2 linked regions of the Neodiprion lecontei genome follow. The protein of the gene in region 1 interacts with the protein of each later gene in a pairwise test. Links are inferred from orthologs where the notes say so. Each region holds a gene or a part of one and is shown in the gene's direction. Other genes may lie near its edges.

The links.
Region 2: the proteins of protein enabled (region 1) and profilin interact in binary tests that used the Drosophila melanogaster proteins (3 or more experiments, as listed by UniProt). The link is inferred for Neodiprion lecontei from reciprocal best matches to the Drosophila melanogaster genes ena and chic.

Annotation. Positions count from the first base shown.
Region 1 is NC_060264.1:29,524,374-29,531,738, forward strand, and holds the start of protein enabled, read left to right. Parts: upstream 1-2,928; 5' UTR 2,929-3,393; coding exon 3,394-3,446; intron 3,447-3,778; coding exon 3,779-4,100; intron 4,101-4,908; coding exon 4,909-5,078; intron 5,079-6,209; coding exon 6,210-6,464; intron 6,465-7,365. UniProt on the Drosophila melanogaster protein: Functions, together with Abl, trio and fra, in a complex signaling network that regulates axon guidance at the CNS midline. Required in part for robo-mediated repulsive axon guidance. May be involved in lamellipodial dynamics.
Region 2 is NC_060261.1:30,013,410-30,020,696, reverse strand, and holds the start of profilin, read left to right. Parts: upstream 1-3,311; 5' UTR 3,312-3,494; coding exon 3,495-3,605; intron 3,606-7,287. Other genes in the region: eukaryotic initiation factor 4A-I, read left to right, coding at 299-443. UniProt on the Drosophila melanogaster protein: Binds to actin and affects the structure of the cytoskeleton. At high concentrations, profilin prevents the polymerization of actin, whereas it enhances it at low concentrations. By binding to PIP2, it may inhibit the formation of IP3 and DG.

The DNA of each region.
Region 1 (7,365 bases):
TTAGTGAAGCTTTTCTCTCACTTTTTGAACGTCCCGAATACGGGTAGTAGTTTGCTCATTTAGAGCTTAAGCGTTGAGGGAATATTCGGGGAATTCAGTTTTGTGGAATAGAATTAAATTTTTTAAAGTCTGGAATGGGGTGGGGGACAAAAGAGTCAGGTTATACGAATGTGTCTGATAAAAAATAATAATAATTATCAGCCACGTTATCGTCAGCAGCAGCAACAGCAGCAGAAGTTGTTTACTTTCTAACGATATCTAGAAAATGTTAACCGTCACCGTGGGGTTAGAGAGAATTCCAAGGAATTTCATGCACTCGTCGTGAGCTTGTTCAATCCAGAGTCCTAATCTCGAGTCCTAAGTCGAGTGGCCGGGCGTTAGAGTTGCAACCCAATGGCAAGGAGAGAAGGTGTACGCTAAGAGAAATTTTCTTATTCCGGTTACCGCTCAGTCCTTGACTATTTTCATTTTTTACCACAATCGAAAAATATAGTTCCAGGTAGAAAATGAAAATTAGTTTTCTAGTATCCGTTGCTATTCTTTCTCATTACGATCGCTGTTGCTAGATTTTCTTGCAACTGTTGCGAAAATTTAACGCTCGTGCAACGATAAATTGACGTTAAAGCCTTGTTCAACTTAAAAAAGTAGAGTAAACCTCGGAAACTGATTTTGCGTTGCAATAACCAAAAAAGGATCGACGATAGCGCAAAATGTTTAGGCGTACCTCGTTTTTCGTAATTCCAACGATATTCAAACAGTTTTTTTTTAACGATACCGGTTTTACTGAATTTCTCTAGTTACTGTAACAAATGAAATTATTCTCAGTGTAGAGTTTCACGGTTATAGGTATAAAGAAGCAAGGAACCGTGCCTTGCACCATGCACACCATCTAGATCCGGGTATTCGCGTAACGCGGAAGAAGGATGCGAGAAGTTGAAACGTGATAGCGATCCGTCGTCGTCTCGTGATCTGCAAGTATAAACCTGAGAATCACGCTCTTGTTTTGCATTCTGTTAAGCTGCGGTACGCGGAACCTCCGGACGATGGTTTCTCCGGATGACCGGAAGTGTGGAGAGAAAACCCTTCCCGCCGATCGATTTCCAAAGCACCGATTACGATTGTCGGCATCGCGATCAACCTCCGTTAATCAGTAATCGCGTTAATCGTCCGTGTAATTGAGAAGGTCATCGGCGACTATTCATGTTTCTTCGCTGCAGGCACACGTGTCTGACTTTCGTTTCACTCGGTCGATAATGTCGGATGCTATCAAATGTGGCAATTGTACCAAGTCAATGTTACGAGTTTGGGAATCTAGTGGTGTGGTGTAGATTAAAGATCATCCATTCGTATTTGCAGCAACAGTTTCAAGCGGTAACAGGAACAACGCATTGTTTTTCTGCACCATTCCTACAGCAATGATGATGGGATTTTTTTAATACTCCTTTTCGGATGTTTTCGCGAATCTGCCAGCTATGAAGCGAGAATGGTTAAAAATACCCTGGAATATGTGTCACGTAGGATAGGAAATGCGCGCACGATTGTTGTTATCAGGAGGAATGTGTACTGCAGCCGGAAGTGGTCGGCAACATCCTGCAGTGAAACATTTCATCCGGAGACTTCAGTCTGAACAATCAAGTTGTCCGAAGCGTTGGACGTTACGGGATCACCGCAGATCATAACGTCTTGAAGGACCAGAACCGGGTTCGCGAATATCTGTCGGAAGTTGGAAAGACATAACGTGATCGGTGAACTTCTTTCTCCTTGGGATTCGTGACAGTGTTTCATTTGTGTAGTGCAGAAAGTTTTTTTTTTAACGACTTCGGTATTAACCCGAGATACGGTTTCTTATGATTTTTATCGAAAGCTGAAAAATATTAGACTGTCAAGGAGAAGCGGAACGGTGGTAAAAGATATGCAGTTCGCTCGATTGAATTTCATTCCTAGTATCCTACGTAACCGTCATGGTGGCGATGTATTTACGATACTCGACATATCGGCTGATATATTATCAGATGTTATGTAACGATATTCTTCAATAAATTTTAGTTTGTTCAACAACGGCGTAACTCTTCTACTGCGATTTATATACTTCATTTCACAATACTCAAGGGCAAAAAAGTTTCTTCGTAGAAACCATTTTTTATCACCCTTGTTCCAAGGAGAATCGAATCCGCAACCCGAGGAGAAAAAAGGTTAAGGGATTCAGGGGACGAGTATGAGTTGACTTTGACGTATGGGGATAAAATGTATATATACGTGTTCAGTCGTGTGGAATAAAGAACATTTTTTATCGAAATTATTCGTCCGAGTTGCGATGTCGGTCCGATTTCAATTGCCAGGACTACTAACTTTTTAAGAGACAAGAGAACGTCGAAAATATACCGTCGCCAAAGATATTTCAACTTTATTTGTAAAGTTATTTCTGAAAGAAGATCACATCGTTAGCGAATGAAATTAGATGAAAAAAAAAATCGAAATCAAACCAATACTATCAGGTACTCGTTTAACCGCAATGAATCATTCTGAGCGAATTTCATCCCAAAAATTTATCAAACTCCTCGTAGATTTCAGGAATAGACTTTGACAGTCGTTCGTTTTGCTGGAAATCAATTCTGTATCTAATCGAAAAAAAAATTCCTTAAAATTTTTTTTTCCACTTTACCTCAACTTTGCCGATGTCTTACGATATTTAAACAATGAATTGTGGTTAGGAAAACTGAATCGAGCCTCTTCTCCGATCCTTAAACAATACCTAGATATTTTTTGTTGCGATTTTTAGAACAAATCGTCGAAGCAGGATATCGCTTTTTTGGAACTGGAAAACCGTTATTCGATTCTGCCGCGGTGTGACGAATTAGGGTTAACGTGTAATTTTACACCGCAAGGACGAGGCAATTATTTACCGGAAAAAGTTGTTCGTTTTTCAGTGATGTATCGCTGAAAAGAAGTTTGAGAATGCTCGAACACTGCTCATTATCGTCGATGATAAAACTTTCCGGGTAGCGGTGTGAAAAAGGGTGCTCACCACGAAACAACGAGGGCAACATGCTGCAGACGTAATTGAATCCCCGCGTTTTCCCCGTTTCGCAAAAGTCAACCGATACCCCGGAGGCACAGCAGAGGCAACACCGTAAAGCGAATCCTTGAAAGACTCGCGCAGTGAGGTGTCACGAAAATGGCATCGTTTACCTGCAAAGCTGGCGGGGAGCTTGCGGCGATGAAGTAATCGTCTTAGCCGGCTTCCTCCTTCGGACAGTGTTGTAAAAATAAACAAGGTGACAGGGTGACTTCCTCTGTCCTTGGCTCGGGCCAACTCCTAACGGTACCCCGGAACAAGGGTAAAGTACAACCCAAGGACGACACGTACCCTTCATCGGCAAGACCATCGCCGACATGACAACCGCTAATCACAAACGTTGGTCCGACTGGAATACCTACTGGGCATGGTATTGAATGCTAACTAATTCCATTCGCTTCCAAGCCGTTTGTTACCGTCTGTTCCATTTCTGTTTTCGGCTCGCCCCTAAGCCAACGCACACGTGGCAGCGTCTCTAATGACGAATAACAATGATCTCTTACCACTTGGCGAGTATGGTGGATCTTTGCATCGAATCTCACTTCCGAAACACGCGATGTTCCTACGTCATATTACCGAATCCGTGTCACAATGTCGATGAATCCATTATTGTTCCATTTATCGTTTATCGACATACCGACTTCGTTCTGGTACTTGGTGTGTACCGTACTTAACGAAACAATGTCATTATCCATTTCGCAGTGAGGTAAGCATATCATCAGCACGGGCGTCGGTGATGGTGTACGACGACGTGAACAAGAAATGGGTGCCGAGCGGAAGTTCGTCCGGCTTATCGAAGGTGCAGCTGTACCATCACCAGGTGAACAACACCTTCAGAGTGGTCGGTCGGAAGCTCCAGGACCATGAGATAGTGATAAACTGCGCTATCCTCAAAGGACTGAAGTACAATCAGGCTACGGTTACGTTTCACCAATGGCGGGACAACAAACAAGTTTACGGGCTGAACTTCTCGAGTAAAGATGACGCCGACGCTTTCGCCAAGGCCATGCTGCAGGCCCTCGACGTAAGTGTTGTGTATACTTTTTATTTCCCTCTTTCTGTCTCTTCGCCGAGTCGAAATTCTTTCTTTTATCAACCATTCCCGTCTTGGAACTATGCACCTTGGAGAAAGGTCCCCGTATCTTTTCACTTCTTGTATTATATATTACACTTGTTTACCCTGCGGAGATGATATGCGGACGTCAAAAATGGGGCGGCTTTCTTACCTTTATACGTATACTATCTTCGATATACTTTACACAGCTGTACCTGGAGAGATACGGATATGTATTGAATTACTTCATTGTCAGGCTGGTCGCACACGAAATCAACCGGACGCTTGCGTGGGAGAAAGAAAAGAAGATAAAGAGAAAGAAAGAGAGGGAGAGAGAGAGAGAGAAGGCAACGTGCAGAGTGCATCGAGCCACATGCCGTGTAATTGGATAACTTCTCCCGGCCACACGAATATTATATCCGATGCAAAAAATTACGTCAACGCGTCAGCCTTCGCTTTTTCACTCCAATAATTCACAAACGAGATTCAACTCGGTTATTAAGACCATTTACCAAAACCCTGACTCGAATATATCAGTCGCTCCATTTCCCGAATCTGACTCACTGCGTGAGGTTATGCAGTTTTTTTTTCCTCCTTACCTTTCGTTACAGATCAACGACGATTATCCAATAACCGTGACAATTGGCAGTGTCTATCAATTTAGAAACCTTTAACTTTATAATGAAGTAAATTGAGCTCGCGGCGTATTATGATACATCAGTAGCCATTGAAAGATCGAACTTTAACCCGTACTAATCCGTCTGAATTTTCATCCCAGGTCCTCAGCAACGGCAGCAATATCTCGAGGAGTTTGGGTCCGGCAGTCGCTTCCACAGCACCGGCGAATTACCAGCAACAGCAACAGTCCCAACAACAACAACAACAGCAACAACAACAGCAACAGCCTCTTGGTATCACCCAGCAGTACGAAGAGGACATGGGATACAGGTCAGTCCCTAGATTCGTTTTTCTTATCCAATTTTACTTGATTTTTTTTTTTGCGGTTTTACCTTTCACCTCGATTCACGTTCTGGGTTCCATTTCTCGAGTGCTCTCTTTGTCCCCGATGTTTTCATTTCTGTCCAATACGTGACGGGAGTATGTTATCTGCAATAATATGGTAAACAGGATAAGACGACGATTACGGCGTTTCAGGACGATTCGAGAACCCGAATAGCGGCACTTTGCCAACGATTATATGTAAATGTTCCTGCAAGGATCCATCGACTCAGATTTCTGAAGAGGACTAATAGACCCTGACTATTCTTAAACTCACAGTGTACATACCTGCTCCGTCTCTTTCATTCTTGTCACTATATAATTTATGACTGGTATAATATTAGTAGAACCATATTATTAGAAATACCGAACATGAGGTAAGGAGGCTCTTTGGGTGCTAATTAGCTGCTAATTACGTGCTATTTTGAAAAATGCGATGCATAATTTTACTCGAATGATACTTCGGTTATATTGTACATTGCTTTGACGGGATTCTCCGAAATAAATTGAATAAGGAAAAATTTACGGCATTGTTTAGACCGCAGGTGCAATTCCAAAGTCCCTGAACTCTGCAGGACATATGCTCCGTGCAATCAGGCCGCCTGGAAACTTTGATCGAGTTACTCATTATTCCAACTGACTAAATGACACCTGGTAATTGAATAAATCACTCCGTGTCGCCTGCGAACAAGAGGATAACTGAGTATAAATCGCGACAATTAAGTTACTGCGTATTGAATTAACGAATTAATTTAACGAAACAGTTGGATAGATAAAGATAATATATCTACTGCGAAGAAGTGACTTAATAGCAGCGATGACAAGTGTCTATAAATAGATGGATAACCGAATCAATGCAGGATAAGGAGACAACTCACGATCAACTGTATCTTGTATGCTCAGTCAAGATAACAACTGACAAAGTACAATCCAGATAACCGAAATGACTGTAGAAATAACTTCATCGATGTAGAAACTACTGAGAATGAGTTACCAACCGTTTGAATGCCTCAATGATCCCATGCAAATAGCAGGTACCTACTTATCGTCACTGGTCAATGATGTGTTGGGTGCTTCCAGTCAGAGTCAGAGTCAAAGCCAAAGCCAGGCCCAAAGCGGATCTGGTCCCGTTCAGGGGGGCCTGGGGATGGTAGGAAGCATAGGGAGCGTAGGGAGCGTGTCGAGAGTTTCCTTGTCCCTGGGGCACCTCGGTGGAAGCCCTGCCCCCCCATCGGCAACCGCCGCTCCGATAGCGAGCGGCATCACAACCGTCATTCAGGTCGGGGGTGGAGTTGCGAGTCGGGGATCACCGGCTGATCGCGAGAACGTCATGAGGTGACTTACGACTGCCGGATATCATTGTCTCTGCTTACATCCATGTTATAGATATGCGGTATAACATGTAAAGCCGGTGCTGGAAATAATATTTCTCAAATAACATTGTCACGTTACTCAAATACCGCTGACCTTTCAACTCACACTTCGCTTTTCTTTGTTTCTTTATCTGTTTATTTGGATTTACGAATCTTGTCACTTTTTTTTTCCGTACTGGTGAATTATCACTCGCATCTTATCGATCGGAAAAATTCTAGAATTTTGAGTACCCACTCGGGTGGGCGGACATACGTTTTGGAAAATCAAATGGCCTTTAGGTAGAGAAAAAACGAAATTTCGGAGTGATCTGAGTATTCCTCAAGTTGATATAAAAAATTATCAACTGCTACAACTATTGTTATTCGTCAAGTGATTTCACAAAATTGATGATCCTCGTTCAGTTAGAGCGATTGGGAATAGATCGAAGATCCAAGTGAAGAGGTTCTCACCAATAACGATACAGCGCGCATGTTCTTCAGCGTTGGTGCCCTGAATAATACAATGACAAATCATCAATGCGATGTGATCGCTTGATCAGTTTTAGAGATTATGAATTAATTGTAGTTATATGTCTTTCCGCTATGCATAATGTAGTTATAAAATCTTTTGAATAACAAAATATATTTATAATAAGGAAATGAAAAATTGGATTGTAGCGATCGTCACAGCGGGCGACTCTACAACCTTAACCTACATCGAAATTATATTTCATTTTGCCTCTATGCATATACGCCAGTTAATACGGACTGAACTGGTTCTACTATACTACCCACTAATATCAATAATGTTTCAAATTTTACTAGCATCCTTTCTAGGTAGCTGGTTTCTAGAGGTATAACCAAATATCCTAATTTTTCTAATC
Region 2 (7,287 bases), on another chromosome or scaffold:
TCAATCATATTGTTACTTGTTTCACGCATTTACAGAGTCTAAATAACTTCAAATATTTTATATACAAATAATTTTTCAGAAAAATCGGAATCCTCGAAGACTTATGTTTTACATTGAATATATTGATTCCAGAGTTTGAATATACACTAGAAAATTATTGTGGTGGTTTGAGTGTAATTGAGAATTTTAGCCAAATGCTGTCATAAGCATCAGTCACTAACAAAGTGACCGTTCAGTGTAACAACCAAAAGTTTCCTGTGTCATCTACTGCAATTGAAATAATTTTCTTTTCTCATAGAATTGGACGCGGTGGACGATTTGGCCGTAAGGGAGTAGCTATAAACTTTGTCACAGAGGATGACAAGCGTACTCTAAAGGATATCGAGCAATTCTATAACACCCATATCGACGAGATGCCAATGAACGTTGCAGATTTGATCTAAAAAGAACAAAATCCGACTAATTATTGGCTATAATCAATAATAATTCATTATAATACAAATAAAAAGTGGCAAAATAAGAGCTCTCAACCTTGATCTCTCTGATGGTGTGAGTATTCAGAAGCGAGTGCTTGTCTACCTGTTCATTACGGGATTTCGAGCGACTTTACATATACATAATATTGATATTTATACATTGTACGGTTTGCCGGCATTGAAAAAATAATCAATTGCAAGTAATAATAATAATAATATTGATTTAAAAAAAGAAAGAAAGAAAGTGAATTAAAAGGAGAAGAGGGATTCTGTACGCGCGCGCGCATCCGACATCCCGGCATCTCGCGATTTTTACTTTAGGGTCTGAGATAAAGTCCAATAAATAATATTCAACGTTTGTTATCTGTAATAATTGTAGAATCGTTCTTCTATATCTAGAATAGCTCTGCCAATAACTTGTGTTCTTTAACCTATTATTGGTGAGTGAATAATAATATATAAAATAATTGTTGTTTGATTTTTTTTTTCTTTTGTTTTTATTTTCTCTTACATTCTGATTCTATTATATGCGTTAAAAAAAAAAAAAAAAAAGAAACTTTCAACCTGCGCGCGTGATCTGCTTAACAGTGAATTGTTCTTCACTTAATTTTTATCATTGTTATAAATTTATTTCGAATAGTATCGTGAAAGGTTACCTAATTCTACACTTGTAAACTTTAAGGATATTGAATATTAGGTGTTCACAGTAATCGCTAAATTAATCGTTCTCGCAGTTATCAACGCTGAAGTAAAATTTTAGAGCATTCAATTTTACATAGGCCAAAAATATTTTGTTCGCTATTGTCGTTGGTCCTGCTCTTGTCACAAAGTGTTTTCACTGTATTTGTTGGAGTGAGATATTTGACGAAATGTTCCCTACCTCCGAAAACCGATTTTTTTCCAATGCTACCCCCATAAATCGATTCCTTCTAATTTTTCCGCTCTTCGTCTCTTCTGTCAAGCGATTCACTCGCTGCAATTGGGACGGCAGTTTATATTACTGTAAAATGATATCTTCCTATCACTACGTCATTTCAATGAACCTGCTACCGCGACTCCGACTTGTTTGTCTGGGCAGAGGTTTAGTTGGGTATTGGAAAGGCTATTTTAATCACAAACGCTGCAGAAGGAGAACTTTTTTTTTGAGAATGCTTAGAATCGTATATGAATTTTTTGTATAATTCTATCTATATTAGCAATACGATATTTCAAATAAAGTACAATAAATACTTTAATCTGAATCTTTATTACGTTTACGGCAATTTTCTCATTTCTTATTTTATGTCGTGGCTGTTCCAATAATACCATGATGAAACCCTGAATGGACAAACTGAAACTGCTGGGAATTTTTATTATATTACTCTACGATTTGTTACATATTACTATAAAACGCAAGAAGAAAACAAATTTCACAAATATTATTAACTGTATTTCCAGGCGGTTTTGGACAGTCCACCAGCGGAGAGATATTTTTGGAAATAAAGACCAAATTTCCAAATCAATATACTATTTATATTAAACTTTATTGTATTTGATACCTCCTAAACTTCCGCCCTCCATACAGATATCACACACTAATTTCTGTACATTTCAAATGAACTTATATCGCGTCATTTTATTTTTCTATTATCAATTATGTTATATACAGTTTCTCTTATATTTGTACAAATTTAATTTTTTGTTCTTTGCTTGGTTAGATCAAGTTTTACCTTATCTCCTGACAATGTGTAAAAAAATTCTGCAGATCGTAATTATTTTATATTTTGTCAATAAAGTTTTGTGCATATTCCTACATACTATATTCAATTCATTTTTCCTTTTTTCATTCTTGCGTAATATTTCTTTCATAGTATTTTCCTTTAGGAAAAAAGATTTAGAAATAAGTAAAACTGGCAGTCATTTCGATCTGATGTAAGCTACAGACTGCCTAAAACCGCCAACACTTGTTTGTCAATTTGCAGGTCGCGTTCTACTATATTGTACTAAATTAGTGAATCATGTTGTTACAGTCAAGTTCAGAAATCATTTGCTTACTATCTGCAGGTTCGTCCAAGATGAATTGTTTCATTAATTTATCAGGAGATAGATTGCAAAACACACGGAGTAAAACTAGCATGCGTAACTTCTGATTTTTGTTTGAATCATATGGGTTGTAATTGAATGGAATTTAAATAAAATCGATACCGAATTCTAAAAGGTGTACAAATTGAATTCTATCAATTGGAGGATTGAATTCAACTGCGACTACACTCGGCGATCTTTCACGGGACCATCGGTCATGGTGATGATCTAAGCGTAAGTTACGGATAGTAAAAAAACTCAATTGACTGATCGGGGTCGTTCTATTTTTGGAAATTTTCTAAAATGATCGACCATCGTTGAAGAGAGCGACGTGTCCGACGGATCAGTTAGTCTACAGGAGCGCTCGGTTTTTAAAGAATGGTACGTACAAATAACTTCCCTTCTGAGAAAGTCGATTTCATACGGCTATTCCGTAACATAAACGAGGCTTAACGAAACTGATGCGCCACCTGGCGTGTAGACGCGACGTGTCATGCCTGGAGGGAAGTAAGTCCGCGCAAAAAATCTAGTCCCCGGTATCGAACGTTAGGATATGAAAACCGTCCTTACAGGTGTGAATTGGTCACGAAGAGAAGCGATTTTTATACATCGATACGATAATCCAACCCCCGTGTCAGCAAATCCCGAATTGTACGGGCAAAAATCGAGGGTGAAACGAGCCGGCGGCATTGTGCTGCGGCCGCGTATGAATACAGATGTAAAAAGTACGCCGTTGGGGGACAAGGGCGTGAACGTGCGTGTGTGCGCGCATCCGAGTAAAGTGTGAGTCAGAAAGCCGCGTATCGCGACAAAGCTAGGGGAGGCCGTAGTCCGACTGCAAGGTCTGTACCGCACCAGCCAACGACAGAGTAGTCGAAGTTGAGTTTGAGTCAGTGACGGGTTGTGTCTCTCTAGTGACGTAGCGAATAGTTTTCTTTCCCCCCGTTGTGTTCAAAAATGAGCTGGCAGGATTACGTTGACAAGCAATTGCTCGCTTCGAGATGTGTTACGAAAGCAGCTATAGCTGGACACGATGGAAATCTATGGGCGAAATCGGAAGGTTTTGAAGTGAGTACAAAATTAATCCATCACATCGTTACCGCTCGTTGTCTCTCTCTCGCTCTCTCTCGTTTTTTTTTCTCTTTTCTATCTCCCTCTTTCCTTCTCTTTCTCTCCACAACCGCTGCATGATCATAGCCTGCGTGCGTGTACACGACTTTTTACTATACTCTAATAACACACGCTAATATTTACTGCCGCCGCTGGTACATCTGCGTCTTATATCCTTTGGGGTTAGTCCGTACAACAGAACTAAAATGATCAGGAATAAAAAATCCCGTTCCTTCTCGACGTTTCCAATTGATTTTCATTCAATCCCATCCCGGCTATCCCGAAGGCAGACAGTTTTATTCAAATTATTCCTACATTCTTGATGAAGTAGTCACAATCGATCCGTCGCGCCTTTAACCGTGTGCGAAAGAGAAATGAAACGATCCACGATTTACTGAGGTATTTTCAAGTTATCCTCGATACATCGGAACAAAGGGTGTGGACTCGGTTCTACCAATTTATATTTTCGTTAGTAACGATGTTGCCTGAGGTTACGATTTCGCCAGATAGTTATCCGTGCCTATCCTCTACATCTCAGTTTCCTAATCGACCGTTAACCGAACGCTTTTAAGTGAAAGCCCAAGTCGTGTTCCTCGGCCGAATCGTCCTCAGAGTCAGCCGACTGCTGCTGCACTTTCCCGTAACCGAATGTCAAAATGGCGACCGCCGGCTACGTGGGATTTGTGCACGGGCGAAAGCGCGAATTATCGTTTATACCTAAAGCCGTTTCAGCAATCGATCGACGTTAATTATCATTCCATTTTTTCGTTTCATTTTCAAACGTTATTAATCAACAGGAATATTTATTCATTAAAAACTTCCCAATTTCTGGTAATCCATACCTGGTGTACGTGTTCTGTAACGCATAGTTCTTTGTATACCAGCAAATTCCTTAGATCGATCGTTCTTCGATTCACTACTGTTATAATTACTTCCAAACATGTTAAATAATCAAATCACCGTGGTAAAGCGAGTGCCTGTGCACGGCACGTGGATTATTTTCCACCACGATGATGCTGCATGGCCATGTGAATAGCATACGTGATCGAGAAGACAAGATTCGAAATAAACGTTAGGTTGGTATTTTTCTCTCTTTTTATTCCACGTTTTATTTCAACGAAAAAACCTGCCACCCTTGCGGCAGCCAAAGTCATTCCCTTTCATGTCTTTTTACCTTTTGTTTCTCTTTCTTTTTCAAATATGCATCCACCCAGGTCGCAGGATAACGTCGACTCCCGATTTCCCGCATGGCGACAGTCGGGGGGCGCCTTGAGCACCGGCCGGCCGGTTGGCTCGACGGCACTGTAGTCGGTTGGCTAGGCTCCCGGAGCTAGTGAGCGGGATGCCAGACAAGAGATTAGGGCGACTGACTGTGTGATTCATACAACACGGTCACGACTGCACACCACTCGTCGCTCGGGTGACTCATTTTCCAGGCAGCTTACCCAGTTACCCCGGTCCTCGTATTATCACTTTCCAAGTATTTTCCGTATCGCGAAGACTTTACTCGAAATCAAAATTGTATGTTACTGGAATATTCCCCTTTTGAGTTACAGACACTCAATTTATTATCCAACCTTGAACGTGTAGTTCGGGAAAAATTATGTGGAAAATGGGCGCATCGGTTTCCAAGCCATTAAAGCAACAAACATTTCGTGTAGACACTCGTAATTTTTTTAACTACCGGCATTCTAGATCTGCCGGTGACCGTTACGATCAACAAGTAGGAAATTATCATTATTCTCTGCAGTGAAACAATTTTTCTTATCGATCATTTATCACTCTTGCGCGGTATACGTACCTATATGTATGTATATATTACCGACTGTACAGGTGCAATCTCAGACTGCGCGAACAATGAGATCGTTTGACTAACTGTCCTTGAACCGTATATCAGAAAACGAACTATTGTACAAAGCTGAGACTGGGATAAATTTAAAACTAAGGCGATTACGTGTACAGGTATGTCACATTTTGGTGTCATGCGCAAAAAGTAAGAAATAATATTAAAAAAATTGAACAGCATGCGCATAATTATAATTATTTTATATGTGAGGTATATTAACGTACTTGCTTTTGTCTTTGCCAAATTACATGGAGAGGACAAAAAGCTATCAATGTTGAAAAATCGCGGAAGGATAGGGACCTGGGCGGTTTTCCTCTTTCAGCGAATAGTAACAACATTGAGGAATTAAGATTACATACTTTCGCCGTATCTGTTTGATGATAAGAGAAAATAATTTAGCGCACACTTTTTTATCTGCGAAATCCGCGTCCATTAAACTGAGTATGTGTTTGTTCGATACGTTCTGCGAGGCACGTTCATGATTATTTCTACATAATTGTCTGTTAATCAGATGATTGAAAAGATTGCATTATATTTTTGAAGTTCTTTTACTACTCCATCCGCATTGAACGCGAATGCTTCTATAAAACCGATGGTAATCTTTGCAATGTATGTATCCTGCATGCATTAATTGAAGTGGTTTCCATGAGTTGTACGAAATAGGATAAAAAGATGGAACCGAATCCAATCGGCATCGTAAACGCGAAAGAAAAAACTCAGCGACTAACATCATATTGAAGATAAGAGTATAAGCGGTGGATGAGAGGATAAGGAACGTATGACGTACGTATGAAGGCGTAGAAATCGCCGAGGCTGAGTGACGAACGATACATCCTAACAGTCATTGCATATTTTGGTATATAATGCGCGTGTGACGCTACGCGCCTAACGACTCTGACAGTGAGATCACTTGGAAAAATGTGTACAAATTAGCTGTTCAGGTATGCCTTTTGGGTATTCGTGACTGACGTCACCTTATACCTACTAACGAGAAAGTAACAACGGTTCTTTGAAAGTGATAAATTATTCACCCGCGCGCGCCCCACACCGTGATGTTATACATGACGGAAAGTAAGTTGCGAGATTCCTGATGTCAGGTGGAAAAAAAAAACGACAAATCAAAAATATGAATCGAAAGAGACAATTGGTATGAAATTCTTTTTTCTTATCCCTTTTTTTGTTTCAAACACCTATTCGCTCACGTATTTTAATTCGTATGTTAATTAATCCACATTCCCTTTGTAATGTTTTTCTATTTACGGGACGAGGAAATTTTTTTTTTCGCGCAAGTTGCGGATTAAGAAGAGACTGTATCTAAAATTAGTACCATATGTAAAAATCTTACAGTTGATAAAAGTGAAGGAACTTAACTTTGTTGCAAATAGAGGGGTACCTGCGATCATTTCCGCTGGGACTGAATTTTGTTGCCTGGTGATGGCATTGATGAACCACTCGCCTGATAAATTGACAAAGACGAAAATTACGTTAAATCGGGCCTGTTATTCAAAAATTACAAATTAAAATTGACCTCTGTGATATTCGGTTCGCTGCTTCTCGCGATTCGAAGTTAGATTCGGGTGTGGGGAGTGGGGTGAAAAATACTCTGTATGCTTATTAGAAGGTGGGATGACCTATACCTAACTGTAACAGCTGATGAGCGTTCCGAGCTGACATTAATAAGCCGTATTCATATATACACGTGGAATAGGTTGTATCGCGCACCGTTGACAGATGTTACCGCACCATTATAATTCTGGCCAGATTTTTCATGGCAATCGAGAATGAAAACAAAAC